Macaca fascicularis: one gene and its partners. The protein of the gene in region 7 interacts with the protein of the main gene of each other region in a biochemical or structural test. Links are inferred from orthologs where the notes say so. Each region holds a gene or a part of one and is shown on either strand. Other genes may lie near its edges.

Region 1 (4,441 bases), about 17 Mb from region 7:
CCTTGAGTTCCAGTCTAGTTTACTGTCAGAGAATACTTATTTCAATTTTTCCTATTTTGTTCTCGAGTCTCTTTCCTCAGATTTACTTTTCTATTTAAATGACGTTCGCGGCTTTTAAATTTGCATTGTAAAATTTATTTTGGCTCTCCCCGCCTGTTTTTTGCACATTAAAAATGAAAACTTTTGTAGAACTAAGGTAAGCAGATGGTCTTCCTGCAAAAAGATTGGGCTGAACTAAAGCATTGCTTTGGAGCTGGTTCACAGAAAAAAGGCAAAACTGGTTATCCCGACTTCAAGCTCCAAAATAAACTGCTTTCTTTCTCCGGGAAGTTTCCCCCGCCACACACACTTGACTGCGTGGCCAGTCCTTTCGATGCCTCTCGCTCCCAACACCGAGTTCCTCTCATTTCTTCACAGTCAGCTCTCAGCTGCTGCTGCTAGTTTCTCGGCTCCAGCACCACGGGTACAGCACTCTGAAGTTCACAAAGCACTCTGCAGCACTGACTGTGATCCTCACAGTCCTGTCCGGTGGCCTCCCGCAGGTGGTAGTGCAGCTTTTCAGGCCCAGAGTGGCCAGGAGCTAAGCCCGCAGACCCGCCTGGAAGCGCAGCGCGGACAGTCGCGCGACCCCGCGGCATGGAGGCCTGGGCTTCACCCAGAGGCGCTCGAGCACCGCCCAGCCGAGCCTCACGCCGGATGCCACTTCATATTTGGGCCCAGAGCTCAATTCGCACCGATGCGGTCCGCCGTCCTTAAACCTATTCAGCCAGAATCTCTCCCCGACTGTAAAGCAACTGGGCGGGAGCGGCAACCTCTCGGCGTCAGTCTTTTGGAGCCGCCGACATTCAGAGAGGCAAGACCCGGGAACGCGCGCTGTCTTGCTTTACGGCACGGGTGCGCGAGTTTGCGGCAGCGTGACGCCAGCAAGTTTTGGCGGGAAAAGCGCTGCATTTGGATTCCTGCAGTGGTGGGCAAAGGACAGTCCGGTGAGCAGGGGCGGCCGGTAGAGTAGGAAAGGCTTCTAAAGAAGGAGTTCGGGGTCTAGATTAGCGAGGGAGGGCACGGTGGGAGAAAGTTAGCATTGACTAGCGCAGGGGATTGGAGAGACTCCTGCGGAGGGGCGGTTTCGGAGGGTGGAGGAATGGTAGCAGGAGATTCCCGTTGTAGAGAGGGGGCAGGAGGGACTAACACACTGCTAGCTAAGAACCCCAAGGAAGGGTCCCAGCCCTTCCTTCCGCCTCTCGGGGCAGTTTGGCCCCGCCCCGGCCTCTGGGACGGGTGGGGGTGTGGATGGGGATGGGAATTGGAACTGAGCAATTGGGAGGAGGCGCTGCCGCAGGCGTCTTCTGCCCGGTTCCGCTCCCTCTATCCCCTTTCTTTCTTCCCCAGACCCCCACCTGTCCCTCCTCCTTCCCCAGTCGTTCACCGGAAAGCATTTGTCTCTCACCTCTTCACCACAACGATTAATTTCCTCTGAGGCCTGAGGAGGGCAGAATTTCAACCTTCGGTGTGCGTGGGAATGGCGATTGTGATTTACACGACAAAATGGCCAAGTTTAGAATAGTTCTTCGTGGTTGAAAGACTTGGATAAATGTAGATGAGATATAAGGGGAAGGCAAGAGCTGTTATTTTTCGTGGGGAATCCTGGGGAGAGGCGGGTCGCAGTGGCTTCACAGGTGATCTTACACTCACTTTCCATCTTTTCTGGATTCCTGCCTTTTACAGCCGAGCTCCGGTGGAGTCATGGCAGTGCCCTTTGTGGAAGACTGGGACTTGGTGCAAACCCTGGGAGAAGGTGCCTATGGAGAGTGAGTTCTTTTAACCTTGCCTTTGTCTTCTGAGTGCATATTCATTGTTTTGGAGTCTCATACTCTGGTGATTTAGAGAGTAGATGTTTGAGATCCAAGATTTTTGGCAACTGAAGTTACACAGTCTTTTTGCTAGGATTAATATTTTTTCCTTCCCTTAAAAAAAAAAAGTTTTCTTTGTAAAGAGCTGGAAGGGACACGAAGTTACTGTTTTCGTGCCCACACATTGCTTCTCAGAGTTTAAGCATCGTGATTAATGAGCAGACTCTGGAGATTGCCTGGTTTCAGATCCTTGCTCTGTCACATACTGGTCATTGTTTTGTGATCTTAGGCAAGCTTCCTAATGTCATTGTGTACCTCTCCTTCACCACCTTCAGGGTGGCAATAATAGTATCTACCCCATAGGAGCTTAGGACAGTTACACAAGCACATATAATATGGGATTAATGCTCTTAAAAGTATGTGAGTAGAACATGTATATATGTGATGTGGCTTAGAATTACCTCAGTCTATTTTATGAAGCGTTTATTAAATGACTTGTGTGACAGCATAATGACGTGTTTGGAGGGTTAGCTATTGTATTTCACATTTTAGAAAGGAGTAGTGTCTGTTGAGAACATAGCAGAAACCACTTCCTTGGTTTCTCCTTTGTGGAAAAAGTAATAAAGGTAAAATAGTTTTGGATGCGTCATGTTTAATCTTTGGAAGTTTTAGAAGAAATGGAATTCTATAATGTTAAAACTTTTTTCCTTTTTAGAGTTCAACTTGCTGTGAATAGAGTAACTGAAGAAGCAGTCGCAGTGAAGATTGTAGATATGAAGCGTGCCGTAGACTGTCCAGAAAATATTAAGAAAGAGATCTGTATCAATAAAATGCTAAATCATGAAAATGTAGTAAAATTCTATGGTCACAGGAGAGAAGGCAATATCCAATATTTATTTCTGGAGTACTGTAGTGGAGGAGAGCTTTTTGACAGAATAGGTATGGAAGAAATTTAAGATAATTATTTTAAACAAATTTTTAAATTTGTTTTTTAAATCTTGGGCATGCTATTTGGTCGTTGTCCTTTCAAAATTGCTCATGCAACAGTGAAATTGGAATAAATTATCTTTAAAAAATTTTTCCTACTGGTATTAATACATAAAAGCATATATAGAGTCAATGAAAGAAAACTTCTTTCCCAAGTTATATAAGTGATTTTGGTTTAAGATTGGTGTCTTACAGAATTTAAGAGTGACAAAATGTAGTTTTATGATACATCATAAATGCAGTGTATCCTAAATGCAATGTATTGCCTACACAATTTTTTCTTTGTAGACATTCTAGTTATATGAAATCATTGTATACATTTACAGATCTAAAATAGCATGCTGTTTCCTCTTGGTTCACATGAAATAATTGAGAATTTTCTAGGATTGCTTTTTGTATATTAAGTAAATTCTGTGTTTGCTATTAATACTTAAACATTCTATGTAGAATCAAAGGACCGATATTTCAGAACACTGAGAAGTACATAAAATAAATCTGGATGTAAATTTATAATTTAAAGCTATTGTATTAACAGTTAAAAACTGATAAAGAGGTACTAGGATCTCCAGTGTGACTCAGGAGAGAGTTGAGGGTAAAAGAAATGGAGTTAATGAGAGAGATCAAAATATAAAAAGATAACTGATAAAAGAATTTTCATAATGAAACTGTGTTTCATGAAGGACCTCACAGGCATTCGTGGTTTTGTACTGTGAGACTATATGAAGTTTAAATCTGAGCTAGGTGTGGTGGTACATGCCTGTAATCCTAGCTACTCAGGAGGCAGGAGAATTGCTTGAGCTCAAGAGTTCCAGGTTACAGTGAGTTATGATCTCACGCCAGGGTACTCCAGCCTGGGTGAAAGAGCAAGACCCTATCTCTAAAAAAAAGTTAAATAATGAAAGAAGTATAATCTCTAAAATATTTAGTGAAATTGGCTTAGATTTGCCCAGACTTCCCCTTTGGCATTGTATTTCAGGAATGAGAAAAATAATTAGCATAGCATTTAGAAGAAATAGGGGAGAATTTGAAGGTTACTGAATCAGGGTTAGTATAAGAGGAAGCAGGGGCTTTCAAGGCATGGCTTACATTCTTGATTTGGATATGGGTTTTTCTCTTTATAATTTTTCTGTAATACTACTTTTGCCATCTAACAGAGGTAAATGTGAGTTAAGCCCTCTATGTGTTAGTGGACTCCTGATTCTTTTGTTGGCATTTGCTTCTCTTTGCCTAAGTACATTTGTAAATGTCTAGGCTTCAAATTAAGAAGCTATGTGGTTGCTACCTGATTATATTTAGTCAATAAACTTACTTTCATACTTGTTTTAGAGCCAGACATAGGCATGCCTGAACAAGATGCTCAGAGGTTCTTCCATCAACTCATGGCAGGAGTGGTAGGTATAGTTGTCCATGTCCCTTTTATTTAAAATTAGTATGAATACATTACATTACCAAATTCTAGTGTGTTTCCCTCTGCATCCCTCTTAGGTTTATCTGCATGGTATTGGAATAACTCACAGGGATATTAAACCAGAAAATCTTCTGTTGGATGAAAGGGGTAAGTTTAGCATTTTATCACTGGTACCTAAGTTATTTTAACATAGCCA
Region 2 (4,526 bases), on a different chromosome or scaffold from region 7:
CTGTAGGCCTAAAGTTTCCCTCAAAAGTGAGACCAAATTCAACAGGTCTCCCTATCTCAGGCCTTGCCCTCCTTGGCCCATCCTGAAACTCCACTGGCTACTAGTTATCTTTCAAAAAAAACAACTCAAATCATGTCATCCCCCTGCTTAAAAGATCTCTGGGCTGGACGCGGTGACTCACGCCTGTAATCCCAGCACTTTGGGAGGCCGAGGCGGGTGGATCACGAGGTTAGGAGATCGACACCAACACCATCCTGGCTAACACGGTGAAATCCCATCTCTACTAAAAATACAAAAAATTAGCTGGGCGCAGTGGCGGGCGCCTGTAGTCCCAGCTACTCGGGAGGCTGAGGCAGGAGAATGGCGTGAACCCGGGAGGCAGAGCTTGCAGTGAGCCAAGATCGCGCCACTGCACTCCAGCCTTAAAAAAAAAAAAAAAAAAAAAAAATCTCTGATCTCTCCTGCCCTTCTAAGACAAAGTCCAAGCACTTTGGCATGATTTGAAAAACTCAATGACCTGACCCCAATTTCCTTTTTAAAAAATTATTATATATTTTTTAGAGATAGGGTCTCTGTCACTAAGGGTGGAGTGCAGTGGTGTGATCACACTCACTGGAGCCTCAAACTCCTGAGCTCAAGCATCCTCCAGCTCAGCTTCCTGAGTAGTGGGGATTACAGGTGCACCACCCAATTTCCCTTTTAAACTTTCTTCACCCTCTTCCCCACAACATGTGCCCACAATGCTAAGAACTTCTCAAACCCAACAAGCTTTTCCATCCTCGGTCCTTCTTGCATTTTTCTCTCTCCCCTTGAACATCCCTCCATCCACCATCCAAGGAGTACCTACTAAATCTCAGGCAGTGGGGTGGGCGTTGGACCCAATTCAGGAGTTATCGGGAAACCTCTTTGACAAACTCTTACCCCTCTCCTACGCCCTTCCCTCTCCCCCTACCCCCGCGCCCTAGCTCTAAATTTAACTCCCAGGACGCCGCTGGTTGGTTCACTCCTCCTCCCACACCCTGTCTAAAGGCCGGGAACAGAATTGTTAGCCCCACCATCCCCACCCCCATCAAGGTCAAGAAATTGAGGCGGGGGAGGGGGTGAGCATGACCACTCAATCCCCACTTTCTCATCTGAGGAACTAAGGCACGAAACAGGGAGTGCCGGAGGGTACACCGGGCCTGATGTACTAAGGCAGAAACCGGGCCTTCCTGCAGTGGGCCGGGTCAGCTCGGATCTCCGCGCGGTCCTGAGTCGCCGCCCCCAACCCAGCCAAGGATTAATTTAGGCGAGCTATCCCGCCCACCACCCCCACCCCCATCCCTGCCAACGTGGCGGGGAGGGACACAGGACAGAGGGGCAGTCGCTGCGGGGCGGCGCCGGCGCCCGTGCGGAAGAGCCCGTGAGCAGGCGTGAGTGGGTCGGGGGGCTGCGGGGGATCCCACGTGGAAGCAACGTCCTGGAGCTGGGTGGGGCTGCGGCGCGGACTACAAATCCCAGGGGCGTGGGCGGGAGAGGCGGAAGGGGCGTCCTGGGGCGGGGCGGGACGGGGCGAGGCTGAGCGGGACCCGGCTAGGCGGAGCGAGGCTGGAGGCGCGGGAGGGCAGCGAGAGGTTCGCTGGTGCAGCGCACAGGAGACCATGTCCGGGGGCAGCAGCTGCAGCCAAACCCCAAGTCGGGCCATCCCCGCCACTCGCCGGGTGGTGCTCGGCGACGGCGTGCAGCTCCCGCCCGGGGACTACAGCACGACCCCCGGCGGCACACTCTTCAGCACCACCCCGGGAGGTAGGCGCGGGCTTGGGGACGCAGCTGGCCGGCTCCTGGGCGGGCGGGAGGATCGGGAATCGCGGATTGGACCGGGTGTCCAGGCTCAAGGGCGCTGTGACTGGAAAGAACGGAGAAGGGGCATCGGGGAGATAGCAAGGGTCATGGAAGTGGCCGCCCGTCTGCCCTCTTGAGTGCGTCGTCCAGACCCAGGTTGCAAACTGCCCCGTTCGTTTCCTCTTTCTGTTAGGTGTCAGACAGCTGACACCTAACAAACACGCACTCTTCCAGGACTGCCACATGCCGAGCTGTGCTGCCCCTTGTGGGTGTTGGGGGCGCTCCCGAGGCAGGATAGGGCGGAGTCAGGGTGGCCCACGATCCAGGAGAGGCCTGGCCTGGTGTTTTTATGGGATGGGTATTATCTGTTGGGATAAATGATTCCTGCAGGGCCCTTTTTCCTTTCCGAAGCACCCCTAGTTTTGCGTTGGACACGCGCGCTCTGACGGAGGTTTGGATGTGGGGGTGCTCTCCTGCTCCAGCAGAGCCTCCCGGGCACCTGTGGCACGTTCCCCATTTTCGCGAGTGGGATCTCCGCGGGGGGGCCGGGCGCCACGGGCAGGGCTGTGCAGAAAAACACGTTCTTCTGTCCGGGGAGAGGAGGAGGCACCGTGTGACCTCCCTGGGAGAGGATGAGGAAGAGGAAGCTGAGCTGGCACGGGTGCGGGGGTGGGGGGGCAGCCTCAGGCTGCCCTCAGGAGCCTGGCATTCCCTCCCAGCCCCGCAACCCCAGCGCACAGACGCTGATGAAACCTACGCGCCTGTTTGCATGATGAAACAAATCCTCGTGGCTCTCCACTCCCCTCCCATCCTCGTACTGCCCCCACCCCTTTGACTTCTCTCCCTTCAATCTCCTCCACGCTGCTTTCCAAACTACTCGAAAACGCGACAGATCCTGGCGCTTCACTCGGTGGCGGGCAGGGGCCACATGCTTATTTTCTCAGGCAGCTGTCCTACCAGCAGCATGCACGGCCGGATCCGAGGTCCTCAGCTATTTGATCCAAAACATACACTGTTAGAACGGTTAGGGATCTTGTCCAGCCCTGCCGCCTTATTCTACAGAGCCGGGCATTGAGGCCCCAGAGCTTGAACACGTGTCTATTGCCCATTGTCACACCGTTTTCCCAGATTGGACAAGAAATAGCAACCAGGCAGAGAAGGGAGGAATGCTTCGTTTTCTATTAGAAATGAGCCAAGGAAAAGCTCGCAGGGGCTCTTATTGCCACTCCCGACTCATCCTCTTTCCCTTGCTGGGTCTTTTGTAGTTCATGCTGTTCTCCTTTGTCCCTGTCACAATGGTCTACCAGGACAATTCCTGACAATTTTGGACTTCTTTCAACTGAGGGTGTAAGTGTCTGCTGGATTTGTTCAGGGTGGGCCCTGAGGCTGGCCTGAAGGCACAGGTAGCCCTTTTTTGCGCCTTTTATTGCTGGATTGTTGGGTCAAATTGGAAGCCACAGATACTGTTTATAGGCACTTCTGGCACGGGTACCAAGGTTCACACCTGTAATCTCAGCATTTTGGGGAGTCGAGGCAGGAGAATTGCTTGAGGCCAGGAGTTCAAGACCAGCCTGGGCAACATAGTGAGACTCCATCTCTACAAAAAAAAAAAAAAAAGATGTCCTAGCTATTACAGAGGCTGCGGCCAGAGGGTCGCTTGAGCCCAGGAGTTGGAGGCTGTAGTGAGCTATGATTGACCACTGCATTCCAGCCTGGGTGACAGAGCGAGACCCTGTCTCTAAAATAAATAATAAACATAAAATATATGAACTTTGAATCCACTTTTCACTTTGGGTTGGGAAGTGGGGAGTAGGCAGGGGGCTGACAGACCACAGCAAATCCCCCTCCTTTTGAAGGTCTTTTTTTTTTTTTTTTTTTTTTTTTTTTTTTTTTTTTTTTTTGAGACGGAGTCTCGCTCTGTCACCCAGGCTGGAGTGCAGTGGCCGGATCTCAGCTCACTGCAAGCTCCGCCTCCCGGGTTCACGCCATTCTCCTGCCTCAGCCTCCCGAGTAGCTGGGACTACAGGCGCCTGCCACCTCGCCCGGCTAAGTTTTTGTATTTTTAGTAGAGACGGGGTTTCACTGTGTTACCCAGGATGGTCTCGATCTCCTGACCTCGTGATCCGCCCGTCTCGGCCTCCCAAAGTGCTGGGATTACAGGCTTGAGCCACCGCGCCCGGCCGAAGGTCTTTAACAGTAGGGGGAGTGGGGAAGGGGCTTCTGCATCAGGGCATAGCATGTTTCTGAGATCACTGGAAGAAGCTAGCAGTGCCAGGAGCCTAAAGCCAGCTCACTCTTTGGGTCATCCAGGTACAGCTCACAGTCCCTAAGCCAGGGAAACCCGGCTTACTTCCACTAAAGTCAAGCAAGCCTGGTCGGCCTCGATTAGCCAAGGTGTGAACTCTTCCTCCAAAGCCCACCTCAGCCCACCTCTGCTAGGGCAGAGAAGCTGAAATGGTCACATCGCAGGACCCTTTTGCTCCAGAGCAGAATACTGCGTCTCAACCTTCCAGGTGCTTGAGGATAACTGGGGGCTTCATTTAAGTGCATATTCTGATTCTGTAGGTGGGGGTGGGGACTAGATTCAGCATTTCTTTCTTTTTTCTTTCTTTCTTTTTTTTTTTTTTTTTTTGAGAAGGGTCTCACTCTGTCACCTGGGCTGGAGTGCAATGGCATGATCTCAGCTCACAGCAACCTCCACCTCC
Region 3 (4,011 bases), on a different chromosome or scaffold from region 7:
AATATATACTGGGGCTTAATAAATAGCACTCGGCAGAAAGGTCAAAGCCAGAATATATAGAATTAGGAGGTATCAGCATATAAAGTAATGCCTGAAATACATGGATACGGATGAAGGTTCAAAGGAAAAATTTGAAAAGTAGTCAGAAAACCAGGTGAAGCCAGCCAAGGAAGAGTTTAGAGTAATGAGAAGTCGAAAGTGTCATACTCCATAGAGTTAAAATTAAATGAAAGAAAATACTAGATTTGCCAAGTGGGAGGGAATTTGTACCTTTTTATAGACATATGAGGGGTATGCTAGTCACAGAAGCCAGATTCCAGTGAATGGAGGCTGAAAAAGTAGAAGCAGCAGTAATCTGGTAAGGAAAGGGGAAAAGAACTATAGCAGAATCAATAGGAAGTTTCCTTTTTCAAGAGTAGGGTAACTACATCTAAGCGAAGTAATGTTATGAAAGAGTCCATGGTAAGTCTCAGGCAAGCAAAGGCTGGTAGCAACTGTAGTTACGTGTGGCCTGTTCCTAACTTGTTGGTGGCAGTGGTCCTAAATCTGAAAGAAAAATAAATAGAAGAAAAAGGAAATTTGGTCTGCCAGTCAACGCAGTGAAACATTTTTTTTTTTTTTGAGATGGAGTCTTGCTCTGTCGCCCAGGCTGGAGTGCAGGCGCGCGATCTCGGCTCACTGCAAGCTCTGCCTCCTGGGTTCACGCCATTCTCCTGCCTCAGCCTCCAGAGTAGCTGGGACTACAGGCGCCTGCCACCACGCCCGGCTAATTTTTTTGTATTTAGTAGAGATGGGGTTTCACCATGTTAGCTAGGATGGTCTCGATCTCCTGATCTTGTGATCCGCCCGCTTCGGCCTCCCAAAGTGCTGGGATTACAGGCGTGAGCCACTGCACCCGGCCAACGGGGGGAAACATTTTGTTCCACAGAGCCAAACTACATAGACATAAACAGAAGTCCTTCTGTTGTGTTTTATAATCAAAAGGATTTATTTTCTGATTTTGCTCCTATGTTTGCTTAGAACTGTTTTCTTTAGTAAGCAGTGTTGTCTTAAATATTACTACTCAGCCTTTGCTTGAGACTTCTTAATCAGACTTGCTTCTAATTTTAAGTTAAGAGTTTCCTTATAACCGGCCGGGCACGGTGGCTCAAGCCTGTAATCTCAGCACTTTGGGAGGCCGAGACGGGCGGATCACGAGGTCAGCAGATCGAGACCATCCGGGCTAACACGGTGAAACCCCGTCTCTACCAAAAATACAAAAAATTAGCCGGGCGCGGTGGCGGGCGCCTGTAGTCCCAGCTACTCGGGAGGCTGAGGCAGTGGAATGGCGTAAACCCGGGAGGCGGAGCTTGCAGCGAGCTGAGATCTGGCCACTGTACTCCAGCCTGGGTGACAGAGCGAGACTCCGTCTCAAAACAACAACAACAAAAAAGAGTTTCCTTATAAACATTTTTAAAAACTGAAAAGATTTTAATTTTTATTTACAGATTTTAATTTATATTTTAAAATATATTTAAATTATGAATGCAGCCTTTATGCTTCTGTTTAGTAAAACCTAAATACTCAAAATCACAGACGGATGGAACACAAATAAAAGTCACTTGAGGGCTGGGCACCATGGCTTATGCCTGTAATCCCAGCACTTTGGAAGGCTGAGAAGGGTGGATTCATGAGGTCAAGAGTTCAAGAGCAGCCTGGCCAAAATAGTGAAATCATGTCTCTACTAATACAAAAATTAGCCAGGCGTGGTGGTGGGCGCCTGTAATCCTAGCTATTCGGGAGGCTGAGGTAGGAGAACTGCTCGAACCCAGGAGGCAGAGGTTGTAGTGAGCTGAGATTGTGCCACTGTACTCCAGCCTGGGCGACAGAGCAAGATTGTCTCAGGAGGAAAAAAAAAACAAAACAGTCACTTGGCTTGTTGTAACTCTTTTTCTAATATCAGAGAAAAATCTCTGCCAGACAGATTTTTCTCTGAGTTCAGATATAATTTACTAACATTGTGACAGCTAAGAATATTTTAGGAACAAAAAAGCTGATCTGAGCTGTAAGTGAAATTGCACACACACAGACACACACACACACACCCATTTCAACAGAGCACTACAGTTACAAAGTGCTTTCAAAGGAATTATCTTACTTGACTCTTAAAACAATACTTGGGTGTGTGCTGGAATCCCATTTTGCAAACCTGAGGTATAGAAAGTTAATACTGTCTCCCAAAATGGAGGGACAGGGCTAGGACTTGGAAGCCCTGCTTCTTTCACTTTATCAGTGTTTGAAGTATCCTGGGATGAACAGTGAAATACTTTCATCAATTTCAAACTTTTTAAAACTTTACATACCCTATTTTCATTTTCTTCTGTTTGTCTCGGTCACTTCTATATGAAAGTTCTAAACTAATATTTAGTAACTTGTTTTTATTGTTTTTGATGGCAAAATCATTTATAGCAATGAAGTTACTTTCTGAGAACTGCTTTACCAACATTTCGTAGATTTTGAAGGTAGTAGTTTTTGAAGACTGTATTTTAAGATTTTTTTCCATAATGTGGTATTCTTAGAATATATTTTTGAAGACTCTTTAGGTGTTAAAATGTTATTATTTTGAGTAAAGATATTATTCATTAAAACATGAACTGGCCACCATACATTTACTTTGTATCAAGTAAATTTAATATAGATAAAATTTAACACACAGTTAATATACATATGTGAAACTCTTGATCTTCTTGAACAATACTATATATGAAAAGAAACCATTTTGAAATAACCTGGCAAGCTGGTTGGAGTGCAAACATAGGAAGGTTGTGCATTAAATCTCCTGTGGGGAAACTGCATGAAAGAAAACTACTCCATGATCAAAGATTGACCCATAATCCTATAGCTATCTTATAAATGCAGCTCATTAAATAAAGTTTAGCAAGATCCATTAATTCTGCTGGAAAAAAAAAAACCCAATGCAAAGATCCTATTACCAGTAGATGTAAAGATACACATCCAGTAGAAAGTGAAGACACACTTAACCCACAACAATCTAAGTAAATGCAGTATATGTACCTGTTCTTCATTAGACGAACCTCTCTCTTTCGTGCTGCTTCTTCAGCAGGCTGTGTAGGAAGTGCTGGGGAGGATGCCATAACAACTCCAGGGGCAATAGTGCTAGTGGGTGCTGTGCGAATCTGGTATGTCTGTACATCTCCAGAGGCAGCTGAAAGAAACAGTGATTATGGTGTAAGACAGAAACACTGCAACTTGATTCAATTATGTGTATCAATCATCAATCTAAGCATGTATTCTGGACTAAAAGGGAAACAAAAAAGAAAAGATGATTCTGGCTAAAGTGTTGAAAGAATCAGCACTCTTTGCGCCACTACTAAGAAATAATTCCCAATGTAATGTATTTATTACAGTAACCTATGTCTGCTGGATCTTGTATTTTATTTTTCATTTGAATGCAGTTCTATTCTGTTGTTAACATGCTTACCAACCTTAAGTCTAAAAGGTAAGTGGGGCACAGCTTGGATGATCTTCCTAGATAGAGTATAGTCCTCAATGTCTTCCTTTGATATTGGTAAATTCATATTAAAAAATTTCAAGTAGACTCTTGCCACGACATAAAAACGACCATGATTTTTCATAAAATAGCAAAATGAAAAAGAAGATAAAGCATTATGGTCAACTATTATAGATTTTGAATTAAAACAAAACTGAAAGTATGAAAAAGTGTATCACCTGATGCCAATTATATTATTTGAAAACATATTGTTTTAATGTAAATGATAATGACTAAATAAACTGAAGTTTTATTTTTCTGATTCACCATTTGTAAAAACAAACACAATCACTATTTGTCAAACTGCTTCTAAAAACAGTGTAATAATATGCTCTCCTAAGGAACCTAATGTTACTTAAAAAATTTGAAGGTCTTTATTAAATTATTAATATTAATTATTAATATCAATTAAAAAGTATGCTTTGAGTGGAAAAGATTTATATACTAAACATGTTACCATC
Region 4 (4,659 bases), on a different chromosome or scaffold from region 7:
TACAACTGCAGGAAAATCAGAGAAGGTGATTCTGAATGACATCTAAATGAAACCATCCAGTGTTCAGATAGAAGGAACAGCAAACGATTAAAGGCAGGAACAGCCTTGATGTCCTGGAGAAACAAGGTCAGTATCACTAAAGTAAGCAAAAGAGGGACAGAAGGTGATGAGGTCAGAGGCAGGCTGAGACAGATTATGTAGGACCTTAGAGGCCTGGTAAGGGGTTTGGATTTTATAGTGATTTTAAGTGTGCTGGAAAGTCAAAGGATGGTTTTGTGTAGGAGAAACTTACAATACGACTAATAGATGAAAAATCACTTCACTGAGTGGAAAATCTATTTTAAGTAGGTAAAAGTAGAAATGGAGAGATCAACTAAGTTTACTGTAATACTTTAGGTAAAAAATTCTGGTGGTAGCAGTGGAGACAGTGAAAAGTGTTAGATTCTAGATGTATCTTAAACATATAGTTGTCAGAACTAACTTAAGGATTATTAAGGGACAAGGGGAAAAAACCAAGGATGACTCCTAGGCTTTTGGTTGGTATATTTACAGTAACATGGGAGAAGGAACAAATTCAAGGGCAGTAAATCAGGCGTTCTGCTTTGCATATGTTAATTTTCACTTCCCAGTGTGGATGTTGAGTAAGCAACCTAATATATATCTCTGATCTAGAAATATAAATTTGTGAGTTATCAGCATATGGATGACATTTAAAGTAATGAGATTAGGTAAGATTACTTGGGAAGAGAGCACAGATTAAAAGAGGGCCAAGGACATAGTCTAAAAGCACATGGGAGAACAGTCAAGAATGACTTCTAGATTTCTGTTTTGGAGAAATAAGTGAATATGGTGCCATTTACTGAGATAGCTCTACTTCAATGAATAAGAGAAAAAAAATTTTTTTTTAATTTAAAAAAAGAAAGCTTATGAAGGTTAGGACATGTGGAGAATTTGTATTGGATATGCTGACTTAACTACACATAGGACACTCAGTGAAACTGCCAGTATACAGTAAATATACAATTCTATAGGAGACATGATTTGGAAAAACATATTAGGAGTCATCAAATAGCAGATTATGGTTGAAGGCAGGAAAGTGGAAAGGTCATTTGGCAAGACTATGCAGAGCAGAGTGCTAACAGCAAAAAAACAATAGGACAAAATTTATCTGAGGGACTGAGGAAGAGCAGTCCATAAATTAGAACACTAGTATCTCATTTTTTTTCAGTAGTCTAATTGCCACAGTCAATTAAAGGAAAACGTTTTGGAAGAAAAGGCCTTGAGAGCTTGAATCTGAAACCTAGCTCTGGTATCTGCTAGCTGTGCCTTTGGTTCTTCAACTTCTCTGACCCTTTTTCTTAAACAGTGGTAACACTTATTCCATTCTATGTCATGGACATACTATGAAAATGGATCAGCTTTTTTGATTCAAGTAGTTTTAATGAAAAAGCCATGACAATTAAAAACTATTAGACAACTCTCTATGGGTCAGTTTTTCTATTCTTTCTCTTGGCATAGCTACAAATAAATGAAAGGTAACATAAGCTCTACTGATGAACAGACTATATATAATCCAAGAACCAATTATTTTTATTAACAGGACCCACGGAGGAAGACGCAAGAGGGAAGAGAAGTATTAACCAGCTAATTCTACTTTAAAGCAAAGTGGGAAAAACATACTGAGCTTCACAGTGAGCCTGAAAGATGAAATTTGTAAACCACCTTCCTACAATGATCACTTTTCTTCATCTTCTTTTAGAGATGTAGAAGTTAATTTGTAAACTAGACACGAAGTATATTTGCCGCAGATAAAAAGTGGAAAAAATTCATACACTCAAAAATAGTGACGCAGTTAGGACAAGAATGATCCCTTCATTTATCCTCTTATTCATATATTGAAACTAGATTATTTGGATGGCCAACCAGTGGAAATGAACACAACTGCGCTGCAAAAAGAAAGAGAAGTAGCTATCCCATTGGCTTAATGTCAGCTTTGACTTTGTGTGGGAAGTTTTCAAACAGTTTAAGAAACTGGGAAGCAGTTGTTCCAACTGATAATTTAACTGCAGTAGCACCACGAGCTCATTTATTTCTTGTTCACAGGTTAGAATTAAACAAAACAAAACAAGCCCTACCGAGTCTTTAGGCCTGGTTCAGGGAAGCCTGCCTGTGTATTGATGGGGTGTGGCAGCCATCAACCCCTCTCCCTCCTTCTTTTGGTAAGATACTGGTTTTCACGAGGTTTACAGACAACAAGCATTTGCAAACCAAATATTAAATCGTCTCCAAATTTTGGCAACACTCTGTGCACGCTGAGATTTTGTGGACCCTGAGGTCTATCTCTCCAATTTCTGACTAAAACAACGGATCGGGAACTGGACGATCAATACGAAGGAGGTCACATCTTCAGTACGTACTGTGACTTCAATTCAAAGAAAAAAATTGCCTGTTCCAGCAAGTGATGTCACTTGCAGAAAATAAGAAGCGGTGATTTTCTTCCAAGGACAATTTGGGGACAAAATGTAAGGCTAAAAACCAATTCCTCCACGAGTGATCACGAAGAACAGAACCTGATGGGTCAAGTCCCTCGTCTAAGGAAAAAGATTTTCGAGAAGGAAATGAGTGTAGAAAAGTGACCAGAAAGCGATTATCAGGCACTCTTCCCTCCAGCTGCAGGAAGCAAACTCTCGGGTCGGGGCTAATTCTCGGGTCGGGGCTAACACCCACGGGCTGCTGCGGTAAACCAGGGCCAGCAGACGCCTCTCTCCCCTACGGACCGGCTTCCCGCAGGTTTGTGGCGACCGCCCCATGTCCTATCAACTGGCACTCTGAGGGAGAAGCGCCCAAATCAGCCACGGAGCATCTCCACAAGGGCCGCAGCGCGGACTTAGGGGATGCCAGCCATGGCGCGGCAGGGGAGGGGAAAGCATGTGAAACCCCAGCCGGGACCGGAGGAGGAGGAGGATGCAGGACCCAGGCTGGGCCTACCCCTACCTGCCGAGCTCCCGCAAGGCGGGGATCATGGAAGCCAGCTCCACACCATGTTCCCCCATGCTGGGGCTGCGCGGCACTCTTCAACCACGCCGACTCGGGTTCCCGGTGTCTCCAAAGCTACCGCTGCCGGAAGAGCGCGGCGCCCGACGGAGCCTTGCGGAAGCCAAAACTCCTCCCGGAAGCCGCTACTGGCCCCGTTTGCCAGGCCCTGCGTATTTTCTGCTTAGGACCCGGGGGAAGCCGGGAAGCCGTTAGCGGGCGGGGCAAGCGGGCTGGCGCGCGTCGGTCGAATTTCCCGGGTAGCGTCAGCCTTCGTTCTCAGCACCCAGCGAGCAATGTTCGTGAAGCTTTCGTTTTGAGCGGCCAGACTCTACTGTTCTCAAGCCTGGGAGGCACAGCGAAGCAACATCCCCGGATCGGGGGAGAATAGGGCTTGAGGGCCGCCAGCCCAGACTCTCGCTTCACAAATGTGAGAACGATGACAGCGAGTAAAGGCCAAGAGTAGACTCCAGGTTTCCCCAGAGTAACGCTCTCACATTTTAAAAGTTCCTCAGTTTCCCACCGCTCTTGTCCCTCTTTCTGAGAGATACAGGCCAAAAGGTGGGCTCTCCCTGTTTTTTTCCTTCTAAGCATTCTTTTTCAACTTGAAGTCACTCTTAGGTTTCCTTGAGGACCCTACCAACCTTTAATATTTAAAAATGGGGTTGGTTTATATTTTTGTCTCATCAAATCAGCAGCAGTACTATGTGTGGAAATGCCACCATTACGGGCATCCACAACCTGTGATTTAATTTTTAAAGTAAAGCAATGGGTTTTGGCAATACACATTTTCTAGCTCAATTTATTGGAAAGATGATCACTATAAGAGATTGTTGACATGTCGAAGTTAGGTAGTTAATCACTCAAAGTCATGCAGTATGTTTACATTTGTTCTTTGGTACATGAGGATAGTTAACTGATACAGGATCTTTTAAAAAAGTGATGTAATGACAGCCAAATATGCTCTTGCCTCAAGAACTTTCCATTTGCTGTACTCTGCCTTGAACGCCATTCTGTCATTGCCCCTTTTCCTTCATGTGTTTGCCAAAATAACACCAAAGAGCTTCATATAGACTAACATATATACACACTCTCTCTCGCTCTCTTTTTTTTTTGTTAGAAACATTGTCTTACTCTGTTGTCCAGGTTCTAATGCAATGAATGTTGCAATCATAGCTTACTGCAGCCTAAACCTCCCAGGCTCAAGCGATTCTCTCACTTCAGCCTGGGCTCAATTGATCCTCCTGCCTCAGCTTCCTGAGTAGCTGGGACTACAAACATGCCACAACGCCTGGCTAATTATTTTTTGTAGAGACAAGGTCTTGCTATGTTGCCCAGGCTGGTCTCAAACTCTTGGCCTCATGCGATCCTCCCACCTCGGCCTCGGCCTCCCAAAGTACTAGGATTAGAGGTGAGAACCACCACACCCGGACATACTATGTTATTGTTTCTCTTCAGTTACAATGTAAGCTCCTGGAGAGCAAGGTCTTGTCTATTTCGTTAACTATCAGATACCCAGGACCTAAAACAGTGCCTGGCACATAGGTGGTATTCAGTAAACATTTGTTGAATGAATCACTGAATGTTTTAGTAGAAAGGACATGGGATTGGGAGTTACAGTCCCTA
Region 5 (4,011 bases), on a different chromosome or scaffold from region 7:
TGATCTGCCCACCTTGGCCTCCCAAAGTGCTGGAATTACAGGCGTGAGCCACCATGCCCGGCAATTTCAGGAATTATTAATAAAACTAACAGATGAACAGCTATCAAGACTGTCATGCTTCCATGGGATAGGAATTTTGTCTCATTGTCATGGTTTGGTTTAGTTTAAATAAAGCAAATAAAGAATGTGCACAGTCAGAGCCCATTTCCCACAAAACCATTTCTGTACCAAGGGCACAACTGTGTGCCTTCTGCGGTGGCCCAAAGCTGCACTGTGCTCACAAGCAGGCATCACCTCCCGTGCTCTGACTGCACCTGCCAGCAAATCAGATGGTCTCCAGTCCCTCCTGCCCATGGGGCTACTTACACATTTAGAAAACTACTTTCTACTGCTACAAACACTGTACTTGAGATCAAAGATTTTATTTATGACCTTAACCCTCTACTCCAGACAGCATCAAAAGACAGAGGGAAAAGCACAATAACAATCATGCTTGTCTCTGGCCTACTATTATTTTTCACCTCATAGGCCCGCAGAGCTGAGCTTTTTGTTTCTCAGTGAGTCTACTACTTACTTCCCCACGTGACAAATACTCACACTTTCATCAACCAGTTCTAGAGAGAAAAGCTTCCCTTCCCCTCGGGAGTTGCTCCAGGTACGGATCTGACTTTTGTTGGTAACACGAGCACAAATAGTCCACCTACAAACCAAATCGATTATATTAGTGTTTGGAGTCTTCCTTAGAAAAGATCAAGTAAGAAATCATCTTCCTACAGCCTTTCTCGTCTTCAAACACATATTTCATTTTCCAACCTGTATTTTAATCCAGCTAATTAAAACCCCAAGATGACACATTGGTTTGACAGTTTACAGAATAAGCAAATAGTAAAACATGCAAGGTGATTTAATACTAACTCATTCTCCTGTCAAATAAGTAAATTTATAAACTCTCTCCCTTCTCCAAAAAGCATCACCAAGGCAACAATATCCCCTTAATGAAAGGTTCTAAGCTGGAAAATACAGTAACACCAGCAATTATATTTTGCCATGGTTTTCAATTATGGGAACTGATATAACTGGTGTCAAACTTCTGTCTCACTCCTAATGTACCCTGAATAGAAATCCACGATGTCGGTGGACCATCAGGGAGAACACGCCGAGGCAGCATGACCTTGCAGAGAGGCACGGAAAAAGGAGGCACAGGGCACATTAGGTACCTTACTTATAATTTCACAGGGAAAAATATCTTCCTACATTACAGAGTATTGAAGAATAAATGTAAACATATCTGGAAGGATTCTGAAAAAGGAACTCTAATTTTTAACTATTCAAATTACTTTATTTTGTGTATTTGTTTTGTGAGACAGAATTTCACTCTGTCACTCAGGCAGGAGTGCAGTGGCACGATTTCAGCTCACTGCAACCTCTGCCTCCCGCGTTCAAGTGATTCTCCTGCCTCAGCCTCCTGAGTAGCTGGGATTACAGGAGTCCGCCACCACACCTGGCTAATGTTTGTATTTTTAGTAGACACAGGGTTTCACCATGTCAGCCAGGCTGGTCTCGAACTCCCGACCTCAGGTGATCCGCCCACCTCAGCCTCCTAAAGTGCCGGGATGACAGGCATGAGCCACCGCGCCCAGCCTCAAATTAATTTTTAGTGGAAAAAGTCATATAAATGAAATATAGGCTCAGGGTATGTTAATGTGGTTAATACAAATTCTGCAGATTATCTAGCCAACTAAACCAAAGACGAAGTCACCTATTTATAGGAGAAGAGTAAACGCCTTTTGAATTATCAGAAATATTTATTTTTACTCATAAGACTACCAACTGATTAAGCATTAAATATTTTTAATTTCAAATTCTTTCAAAATGAATGAAACCTCACAGGCTATGGCAGATTGCTATTGCTATATTTTCCAACAAGAGTTAAAGGTTGCCACAATCTGTACCCCTTTCCTCCTCAGAAAAAAAAAAAGAGTAAACCCATTTTATTTGGTGGTAACCCTGAAGTTTGCGCATAAATAACTCAAGGGTCCATAACAGCTTCTACGATTCTGTAATCACACTCTGAACTTATTCTATGCATAACTCACTTGGACTGGTAAGGAGTGAGGCTGGCAATGGGCACCACTTTGGACTGTGTTCCCCCAGAAGTGTTTGACAGGCTGGGACCTCCAGCTTTTCCAAATGTCTTTGAAGCACCATAAGCCTTAGAAACAGTGGAACCTTAAAAAACAAACGCAAACAGAAAGGAGCATTATTATTCTACTTAGCTTTTTTATAGTAAGCTTTACAATAACTCTAAATGTTTGAGGTGCCGCTAGTGAAATCCTATAACACGAGAGGCAAAGCTTTTCCTTTGTAGCATGCAAGAGATACGCAGATCAAACAGAGACTGAGGCTGGAGGCTAGGAAAGCAATCTAGAACGAAGGCTGCGCACACAGACGCTCACTGTTACGTTTGCTGACGTCAGCCCCGAGGTCAAGGCAATAATGGTAATGAATCCAGACACTGTTCTTTCTGAAGGCCACCCTCTTACACACTTCTCTTGCCTCAATGGGCAAGATAACGGGTCAGAAAAAGGAAATCAACTGTCGTAACTGGTAAAACTGACGGCAAGGCACGAGTTACGTAAGAAAAAAAGCAAGAGGAAAGACAGGACGTAAAGGACGTATCACAAATCGATGGCCTCCGAATCCCCAGACAACTCCCAGATCTCCACGCGTCTAGAGGACTAAATAGTCTAGAGTGAAGTCCGTAAGAATGAGTTGAGTAAAGGGCAGGAATCAGTTCTGGTCAAGACACATAAGTGGGTGACCACTAAGACCCTTCCGCCTCCTTAATCCAAACCTGAGCAGCTGCCCGGCACCGGGAAGCCACAGGGATCAGATGCGTTCTTTTAGACGCACCACGTGTCTGCAAAACTCAACCTCCAAATTCAGAAAATATAATTTAGTTCAGTGATTTCATACCCTCTATATCAAAACATTTTTTCAGAATAGAATTTGGCTAAAAGGATCAATACACCATCTATCCAGTATTTATTTACGGAGTTTCCACAGCATGTACCACACCCTTCTAGGCACTCGTAGTAATTAGTAAAAAATATACATAGGAGTGTTCCAGGGTTAAAATTTTCTGTTCTAACGGGGGAGTCAAGAGAGATCAATACACACACAACAGTAATTACCTCAAGACTGTGTACGGAAACGCATGTCCTTTGTAGAATACATGTGTATACCCATACGTAATTTATAATTTCATAAAACACACACAAGCATCCATTCATCCAATTTATTTCATGCTGGGTAGCTTCTCCTCCGTACATATCCAGTTCATTTTCTTTCACTACATAGTTTAGGGAACATTAACTGATTTTCATTTTTTTGAGACAAGGTCTTGCTCTGTCCCCCAGGCTGGAGTGCAGTGGCATGATCTTAGCTCGCTGCAGCCTCAAATTCCTGAGCTCAAACAATCCTTCCACTTCAGCTTCTCGAGTGACTGGGGCTATAGGCGTGCACCACCATGCCCGACTGATTCTTTTAAAAAAATTTTTATAGAGATAGGATCTTACTATGTTGTCCAGGCTGGTATCAAACTCCTGGGCTAAGCAATCCTCCCTGCTCTGGCCTCCCAAAGTGCTGGGATTACAGGTGTAAGCCACTGTGCCCAGCCCAGATTTTTTTAAATGTATTTTAATATAAGGCAAAGATAGACAACCAGAAAAATAATTCTGTGGAGGGAGAGAGAGGAATAATGTACTATTTGTATATCAGCCTAAGGAAATGATTATTTACTACGTTAGAGTCTATTTCACCACCCTCTTCAAAAGTGTATGTGTGTGTGTGTGTGTATTTTTTTTTTTTTTTTTTTGAGACAGAATCTCACTCTGTTGTCCAAGCTAGAGGGCACTGGTGCAAACTTGGCTCACTGCAACCTCCACCTCCTGGGTTCAAACGATTCTCATGCCTCAGCCTCCCGAGTAGCTGGGATTACAGGCACACACC
Region 6 (4,011 bases), on a different chromosome or scaffold from region 7:
CTCAGAGGCGACAGGCTGGTCTGTGGAGGTGGAAGGCTGGAGCTCAGGGACTGTGGGGACAACTGGTTCAGGGGTCTTGACAGAGGACCTATTTGTCCTGCTCCTAATGGCCTCAGATGTGGGCTTGGGGGTGACAGGTTGATCTGTGGAGTTGGAAGGGTGGAGCTCAAGGGCTGTGGGCACAACTGCTTCAGGGGTCTTGACAGAGGACCTATTTGTCCTGCTCCTAGTGGCCTGAGATGTGGGCTTGGGGGTAACAGGTTGATCTGTGGAGTTGGAAGGGTGGAGCTCAAGGGCTGTGGGCACAACTGCTTCAGGGGTCTTGACAGAGGATCTATTTTTTCTTCCCCTAGTAGCCTGAGATGTGGGCTCAGAGGTGACAGGCTGGTCTGTGGAGGTGGAAGGCTGGAGCTCAGGGACTGTGGGGACAACTGGTTCAGGGGTCTTGACAGAGGACCTATTTGTCCTGCTCCTAGTGGCCTGAGATGTGGGCTTGGGGGTGACTGGCTGGGCTGTGGAGGTGGAAGGGTGGGGCTCAGGGGCAGCAGAGGTAGCTGGAAAGGGTGTCATCCTGGAGGACTTCCGAGTTATGATTTTAGGCTTTGGGTGGAAAGGCTCCAGCTCTGAGGACAAGGGAGTCTCTGGAGCTTCCTGACTCCTATCCTGCCCGGTCTTACGAATGGTTGGCTCGATAGAAGGTGAAAGGGGAGAAAGAAGGGGCTGAGGTGCAAGATGTTTCTGGTTCTGAGAGTTAAGGGGCTTTTGGGGTGGGGCTGAGGCTTCAGGCACTGTAGGAGGCAGACAAGCATCTGGAGATTCCTGATCGCCCTAGGGAGAAACAGAAGCAAGTGAGGGGGAGGAGGTGGAGAAAAGAGATAGAACTTGGATACTGTTCTTGATACTTGTTTATGGTTAGATAGGATTACTGGATTTCGCCCAGGCGTAGTGGCTCACGGCTATAATCCCAGCACCTTGGGAGGCCAAGGTGGGTGGATCACGAGGTCAGGAGTTCAAGACCAGCCTGGCCAACACAGTGAAACCCCGTCTCTACTAAAAATACAAAAAAAATTAGCCGGGTGTGTTGGCAGGTACCTGTAGTCCCAGCTACTTGGGAGGCTGAGGCAGGAGAATCGCTTGAACCTGGGAGGCAGAGGTTGCAGTGAGCCAAGATCGCGCCACTGCACTCCAGCCTGGGTGACAGAGTGAGCCTCTGTCTCAAAAAAACACATAAAAATTAGCTGGGCGTGGTGACACGCACATGTAGTCCCAGCCACTTGGGAGGCTGCAGCAGGAGAATCACTTGAACCCGGGAGATGGAGGTTGTAGTGAGCCAAGATCACGCCACTGCACACTCCAGCCAGGGTGACAGAGAGAGACTCTGTCTCAAAAAAGAACAAAAACAAAACAAAAAATATGCTCACTGGGCTGGGCGCGGTGGCTCACGCTTGTAATCCCAGCACTTTGGGAAGCCGAGGCAGGTGGATCACCTAAGGTTGGGAGTTCAAGACCAGCCTGACCAACATGGAGAAACCCCGTCTCTACTAAAAATACAAAATTAGCAGGGGTGGTGGCGCATGCCTGTAATCCCAGCTACTCGGGAGGCTGAGGCAGGAGAATCGCTTGAACCCGGGAGGTGGAGGTTGCGGTGAGCCGAGATCGCGCCACTGCACTCCAGCCTGGGTAAAAAGAGCGAAACTCTTTCTCAAAAAAAAAAAAAAATATGCTCACTGGATTTCCCTTTCTGTCTATGATCTCTCCTCCATTAGACTGGGATATACCTGGGAAGCTACTTTTCCCCATGGACCTGTCTCCATAATGCTACTATAGTGTTCTCCACACATGGATGATGGTAATGAAAAGGATGGCTGGGGCAAAGAAAGAAGAAACACGAAGGATCTTTCTTCGGAGTCAGGTAGGAGATACAACTTGGGAAACAGATATGGAAAACAATGGGTGCCGAGGATAAAGGAATAGAAGCCAATCAAGGAGTGATAAAAATGGAAGAAAACTGAATAATGAGAAAGGAATAGATTAAAGTGAGGCTAGGTGAAGGAGCGTTGGAGAGGATATAGAGATGACTTGTGGAGTAGGAGGTAGAAAAAGCAGCTCTCACCCTGGAAGCCTTCTCAGCAGCTCCGATCCTGGAAGCCTTCTCAGTGGGTGGCATCTTGCAATTCAGGAGGCCTAGACAGAAAATAAACACAAAGGTGGCTGAGTTGCAGGCAGCTGGTTGCCCAGGGGTTGATTATTATGAGGCCTGTGTATCACCTTGAGTTCCCCTCTGCCTTCACTTACCTTTCTGATGCCTCCTGGGGCTCACTGGGGATCCCCTTCCACCTGACTGGCTCCCAGAAGGTACGGGGGCTGAGGTAGGTCCCGGAAGGTCCCCCGCCCCCACCCCAGGCTCTGGTGTTGGGCTGGAGGCCTGCCCTTTCTGGTCCTGGCTCCCTCCCTTTGGCTCCCCTCTCTGTGCGTCTCTCTCCAGGATCACTTTGGGCACCTTCTCTTCTAACTCAGCTGGCTCACACTCTCTGTCTGCTACTGGTCTCTCTACTTCTCTCTCAAATGCTTTGCTTGGAAGGGTCTGCTTCTGTACTTGTTTCTCTTGTATTTCCTTGGATGTCTCAATTTCTACCTTCAAACTCTCCCTATCTCTTTCAGGACTTGCACTTTCCCCATTTTTGTCAGATTCTTGTCTCTGGGTGTCTCTAGCTAACAACTGTTTTTGTTCTCTGTCCTGTATCCCTCTGGCTAATTCTTCCTCTCCCGTCACATCTGTCTGTCTTTCCGGTAGCAGTTTCTCAGTTTCTCTCTCCAGTGGCCCTCTCTCAGGGCCCACCCTCTCTGCTGTTTCTTTTGGTATACCCATGCCTTTATCCACAGTCTGCCTCCCTCTGCCTTGAATCCCCATTGGCTCTGTGTGAACTGGGCTCTCTGGATGTTGGTCTCCTGGTATTGCCCTAGGTGGAGACAGGCAAGGTCCATAGGCCTCAAGGTGGGTGTCAAAAGGCTGGGTCTCAGAGTCCTCAGACTCTCTCAGACAGAATGGCTGTGTAGCCAGGACCTCCCATGGTTCATCTAGGGTACCTGGAAGGGAGGAAGGAAGAGAAAGAGAGGGAGAGAGAGAGAGAAAAGGAGAGGAGGAGGGAAAGGGAAGTACAGGTTGACATAATAAATATGATGAGAAAAGATTTAGATAAACTCATAAATAATAAATCTCAACAGGTTATTAAAGGAAAGCTGGGAATAAGGGTGGTAGTTACAACATTTAACGTTTGTCTCAAAAAGGTCATAGCCTTGGGCGGGCATGGTGGCTCAGACATGTAATCCCAGCACTTTGGGAGGCCAAGACATGAGGATTGCTTGAGGTCAGGAGTTTGAGACTAGCCTGAACAACATGGCAAAACCCCATCTCTACAAAAAATACAAAAAAATTAGCCAGGTGTGGGGGCAGGGACCTGTAGTCCTGTAGTCTCAGCTACCCAGGAGGTTGAGGTAGAAGAACTATTTGAACCCCAGAAGTCAAGACTGTAGTGAGCTGCGATCATACCACTGCACTTCAGCCTGAGTGACAGAGACCCTGTCTCAAAAAAAAAAAAAAAAGAAAAAAAAACCCAACAACAAAAAGAAAAACATCATAGCCTAATATGAGTTCCCTGAATAGTCTCTCCTCATACCACTGCACTCCAGCCTGAGTGACAGAGACCCTGTCTCAAAAAAATAAAAAAATAAAAACATCATAGCCTAATAAGAGAGTTCCCTGAATAGTCTCTCTCTTTTTCTTTTTGAGACACAGTCTCACTCTGTCACCCAGGCTGGAGTGCAGTGGCATGATGTTGGCTCACTGCAACTTCCAACTGCTGGGCTCAGGAGATCCTCTCACCTCAGCCTCCTGAGTAGCTGGGACTATAGCATGTGCCAATGCGCCCGGCTAATTTTTTGTATTTGTTGTAGATATGGGGCTTGGTCTTGAACTCTTGGACTCAAGTGATCCGCCCATCCTAGCCTCCC
Region 7 (4,011 bases):
GATTGCTTTGTTACTTCTCCACTCCCACTGCTTCACTTGACTAGCCTTAAAAAAAAAAACAAAAAACAACCTTTTTTTTTTTTTTTTTTTTTTTTGAGACGGAGTCTTGCTCTGCCGCCCAGGCTGGAGTGCAATGGCCGGATCTCAGCTCACTGCAAGCTCCACCTCCCGGGTTCACGCCATTCTCCTGCCTCAGCCTCCTGAGTAGTTGGGACTACAGGCGCCCGCCACCGCACCCGGCTAGTTTTTTGTATTTTTTAGTAGAGACGGGGTTTCACCGTGTTAGCCAGGATGGTCTCGATCCCCTGACCTCGTGATCCGCCCGTCTCGGCCTCCCAAAGTGCTGGGATTACAGGCTTGAGCCACCGTGCCCGGCCAAAAAAACCTTTTAATAAAAATAAAAATCATTATATGTATTTGCACTCAATTTTTAATCTTATTATATTTAGAACAAACTTATGCAACAGTTAAGTCCTTAAAATGATCTGAAAAAAAAAAAAACTCATGCAACAGTAATCTGTTAAGCCATTTATTTATAATTTATAACATCACTTACTTCTGTTTGCACATTTGATGAAGTATTTGACCAAACTACTGATTTCCTGCATCTTTTTCTGCCTGGAAGCTTGTGTTGAGGCTGATACATTTGGTTTTGCTATTCTCAGACATTCTGTTTCTTTCTGAATATATTTCTGTAAAAATCTTCAAGAAAACAAAATACAATTTCAGAAACTCGTTGAATCCTTAAATTATAATAATTTCGAAAGCTGTTCATGCCATCAAAAAGAGCAACTTTTAAACTACCTTGCTTAGATTACTATACCAGCTGAATAAAACAAATAAAACAATTAAATCTCTCTTTCAAGGCCTAACGCCTGTAAGACCAATTTAATGTCTGGTTTGCAAAGCCCTTAATCTTCTATGACTTACTACTGCTTTACTGCCTGCTTTCTAAATTTATCATTAAAAGCTCACAGTGCTAGTAAGGACCCTCTCAATCCTCTCTCAACTCCTTCTGTTATTCTGTACTGGATCTACTTCTTTCTTAGGCAGTTGGTAATGTTGCTAGCCATTAAATGATGCCTGCCTAGAAGATATTCATAACTAGCCAGGAGTGCCAGGTACATATTTGACCTACCAGATCAGCTTATACAAAATAGTATTCATCTTCAGGTTATATTTGTTGTATTTAAAATAAACTAGAAAGCCAGAGGAAAAAGGGCATGTATGTTTCATTTTATATGCATTCAAATCTGCAACAATCTAATACCAAATAGGAGCTAAAAATAAAACAGAATCTGTTGTAAACACTGAAGGACAACTAAATACATACTCCCTCGTGACAACAAATGTTATTTCTAGTTTATTTAATACTCTCAGTATTTAAAATACTTTATTCATCTTTCCTAATTCTTACAATCTGTTTCTAGTTATAAATGGATTTCATGATTGAAAATGATGTCTCAATGTAAAAATGCATCAACCCTGTTGGTTTAACTGATTGTTGTGTTTTTTCATTGTTTGAGGTTTTCTTTGTTTTTAACCAAATTCATATACAATCTTCCTTTTACTTGTTTTATTACAATTTAACACGTGGCATTTACTTATAATCAGAGCAATATTTAAAGGTGTGAAAGTAATATCCAAACATTATAATTTTTTTCTCTAATCTGAAGTCTTGTGAACTAATTAAAATGAGAGAAATTCTCTATCAATTTTGAGTGAGATATGTCTAAAACATTTTATTTAAGAAATAATTTATAATTTTTAAGTTTCTATATGAACAAGCTTTAAAAATTATGTTTTGGATAAATATTAAATGCCAAATTCATATGCAAGGCATAATAATATATAGGAAACAAAGACAAATGTTAAGACACACAAAAATAATATCACAACAGAAATAAATATGAAAGAGAAAAATGAAGACAGTAAAATAAATTTGAATAGAATACCTAAAAACAGCATCCCAATTCAAATATTTTCCTTGTTTGGAATCTGAATGCCGATCTAGATGTATAATTGTTTCAGGATCTCGAATCAGGCGCTTAAATTTCTCAACTTCTTTCTGAAAATAAAAAGGAAATAATAATGGGTTACTAATCACACTTATTTCAAGGAAAAATTGAATTTAAGTAATTTACTACCTTTCGTTCTGTAGCTCTCTCATGTTCTAGTTGACGGCAGCAAATAAGCAGATCATTAAGTGCTAGACTCATGGTTCACAATTTCAGAATACACATCACTGCAAAAAAAAATATAGGTATATATATGTATATGTATATATATGCGTATATACAGAGAGAGGTGTGAAAAAATGTGTATATATAATTATTTTATACTGCAATATTTATAGATTTAACCATACAATTAGAAGCATATTCTCATCAAAGACACAATAATTTTTCTTAACATTTCCATATTTAAAATGAGATTTTCTTAAAATCTATACAAGCAATGCTATAACACAAAAATGTTTGCCTTGCTTGCAGTGGTAGCAGGATTGAAATAAAAGTATAATTTACACTGGGTGCGGTGGCTCACGCCTGTAATCTCAGCACTTTGGAAGGCCAAGGTGGGAGGATCACAAGGTCAGGAGTTCAACCAGCCTGGCCAACATGTTGAAACCCTGTCTCTACTAAAAATACAAAAATTAGCCGGGCTTGTTGTCACGCGCCTGTTATCCCAGCTACTCAGGAGGCTGAGGCAGGAGAATCGCTCGAACCCTGGAGGCAGAGCTTTCAGTGAGCAAAGATCGAGCCACAGTACTCCAGCCTGGGCGACAGAGGAAGACTCCATTGGGGTGGGAGACGGGGGAAGTATATTTACTTTTTATTACTCTGAGACCAAAGAAACATGACATTTAAATTCAGACATGAAAGATAAATAGAAAACAGCCAGGCAAATAAGGAAATGAGTACTCAAGAATTTAACATTGACAATGAATTATTTAAAAGCACTCTTGGCTGGGCATGGTGGTGCATGCTTGTAGTCCCAGCTACTCAGGAGGCTGAGGCAGAATAATCACTTGTACCCGGGAGGCGGAGGTTGCAGTGAGCAGAGATCGCACTACTGCACTCCAGCCTGGTGACAGAGCAAGACTACGTCTCAAAGAAAAAAAAAAAGAAAAAAGCACTCTTGCTCATCTGGAGAGATGTGTCATTTTGCTGAGCCAAAGGCTTAAAACATGCTTTGGAACTGATAAGTAGGAGGCTATCAGAGCTAGTAAGCTTTGCCTACCACTTCCATCTCGACTGGTAATTAAGGCTCTTATTTAACACATAACGATAGGAGTAAAATATTTCTGTTTTAAAAGGAAATTCTATGCTATGGTGGTATCCTTTGCAAATGTCAAGGATCAACTATATTTTACTATGTCTTGATTCCACTGTAGTAGCTCTCTTCTTTTGGGGGCTTCTGATATAATCAAACTCTCTTTTGATGTCCTTCAAAATAATCTAATAAGAACAGTATTTCAACATGGACACAAAGATGGGAAAAACTGACACTGGGGACTGTTTGAGGGACAGAAAGAGAGAGAGGTATGGCTTGAAGCGCTACTTATCAGGTACTATGCTCACTACCTGAGTGACAGAATCATTCGTACACCAAGCCTCAAAAACATGCAATTTACCCATGTAACAAACCCGCACATCTACCCCCAGAACCTAAAATAGAAAAGAAAAAAGAAACAGCATTCTGTTTTACTAGTTCTGATCTAAACCTTTATATGATACAAAGAAGTTTTTTTATTAGACTATGAATGTCTGTAAACAGAAAAAATACATATATTTATGTATATTATACCTACACATACTTACAACTCAAGATGTAAAAAGGTAAAGTCCTTCTCCTATCCATACATCTAAATTCTACTTAATCTTTCAAGATCAAGTATGTTTTTCTGTCCCGATTCAATCTCACAAAATCTCAAAATTGGGAGGAAATAAGAGAACAGGTCCAATCTTCCTATAAAGGAAGGAATGTCTCCTACAAAATGAATGCCCTGTC

What was found.
Region 1: of the proteins of ATM (region 7) and CHEK1, one has a biochemical effect on the other in vitro, tested with the Homo sapiens proteins (2 studies listed by BioGRID, with this or other methods). The link is inferred for Macaca fascicularis from reciprocal best matches to the Homo sapiens genes ATM and CHEK1.
Region 2: of the proteins of ATM (region 7) and EIF4EBP1, one has a biochemical effect on the other in vitro, tested with the Homo sapiens proteins (2 studies listed by BioGRID, with this or other methods). The link is inferred for Macaca fascicularis from reciprocal best matches to the Homo sapiens genes ATM and EIF4EBP1.
Region 3: of the proteins of ATM (region 7) and CREB1, one has a biochemical effect on the other in vitro, tested with the Homo sapiens proteins (2 studies listed by BioGRID). The link is inferred for Macaca fascicularis from reciprocal best matches to the Homo sapiens genes ATM and CREB1.
Region 4: of the proteins of ATM (region 7) and ATR, one has a biochemical effect on the other in vitro, tested with the Homo sapiens proteins (2 studies listed by BioGRID, with this or other methods). The link is inferred for Macaca fascicularis from reciprocal best matches to the Homo sapiens genes ATM and ATR.
Region 5: the proteins of ATM (region 7) and RPA1 form a complex in vitro, tested with the Homo sapiens proteins (3 studies listed by BioGRID, with this or other methods). The link is inferred for Macaca fascicularis from reciprocal best matches to the Homo sapiens genes ATM and RPA1.
Region 6: the proteins of ATM (region 7) and MDC1 form a complex in vitro, tested with the Homo sapiens proteins (2 studies listed by BioGRID, with this or other methods). The link is inferred for Macaca fascicularis from reciprocal best matches to the Homo sapiens genes ATM and MDC1.

The regions. Positions count from the first base shown.
Region 1 is NC_088388.1:124,180,233-124,184,673, forward strand, and holds the start of CHEK1 (serine/threonine-protein kinase Chk1), read left to right. Parts: upstream 1-1,311; 5' UTR 1,312-1,597; coding exon 1,598-1,615; intron 1,616-1,725; coding exon 1,726-1,808; intron 1,809-2,565; coding exon 2,566-2,789; intron 2,790-4,163; coding exon 4,164-4,228; intron 4,229-4,322; coding exon 4,323-4,392; intron 4,393-4,441. UniProt on the Homo sapiens protein: Serine/threonine-protein kinase which is required for checkpoint-mediated cell cycle arrest and activation of DNA repair in response to the presence of DNA damage or unreplicated DNA.
Region 2 is NC_088382.1:41,420,527-41,425,052, forward strand, and holds the start of EIF4EBP1 (eukaryotic translation initiation factor 4E-binding protein 1), read left to right. Parts: upstream 1-1,578; 5' UTR 1,579-1,640; coding exon 1,641-1,785; intron 1,786-4,526. UniProt on the Homo sapiens protein: Repressor of translation initiation that regulates EIF4E activity by preventing its assembly into the eIF4F complex: hypophosphorylated form competes with EIF4G1/EIF4G3 and strongly binds to EIF4E, leading to repress translation.
Region 3 is NC_088386.1:103,524,982-103,528,992, reverse strand, and holds part of CREB1 (cyclic AMP-responsive element-binding protein 1), read right to left. Parts: coding exon of another isoform or gene 4,008-4,011; intron 3,206-4,007; coding exon 3,055-3,205; intron 1-3,054.
Region 4 is NC_088376.1:45,385,129-45,389,787, forward strand, and holds the start of ATR (serine/threonine-protein kinase ATR), read right to left. Parts: upstream 3,143-4,659; 5' UTR 3,054-3,142; coding exon 2,995-3,053; intron 1,805-2,994; exon of another isoform or gene 1,601-1,804; intron 127-1,600; exon of another isoform or gene 1-126. UniProt on the Homo sapiens protein: Serine/threonine protein kinase which activates checkpoint signaling upon genotoxic stresses such as ionizing radiation (IR), ultraviolet light (UV), or DNA replication stalling, thereby acting as a DNA damage sensor.
Region 5 is NC_088390.1:1,984,429-1,988,439, reverse strand, and holds part of RPA1 (replication protein A 70 kDa DNA-binding subunit), read right to left. Parts: intron 2,230-4,011; coding exon 2,097-2,229; intron 701-2,096; coding exon 598-700; intron 1-597. UniProt on the Homo sapiens protein: As part of the heterotrimeric replication protein A complex (RPA/RP-A), binds and stabilizes single-stranded DNA intermediates that form during DNA replication or upon DNA stress.
Region 6 is NC_088378.1:141,947,532-141,951,542, reverse strand, and holds part of MDC1 (mediator of DNA damage checkpoint protein 1), read right to left. Parts: intron 3,088-4,011; coding exon 2,296-3,087; intron 2,185-2,295; coding exon 2,114-2,184; intron 829-2,113; coding exon 1-828. UniProt on the Homo sapiens protein: Histone reader protein required for checkpoint-mediated cell cycle arrest in response to DNA damage within both the S phase and G2/M phases of the cell cycle.
Region 7 is NC_088388.1:107,240,663-107,244,673, reverse strand, and holds part of ATM (serine-protein kinase ATM), read right to left. Parts: intron 2,246-4,011; 5' UTR 2,220-2,245; coding exon 2,148-2,219; intron 2,069-2,147; coding exon 1,956-2,068; intron 703-1,955; coding exon 557-702; intron 1-556.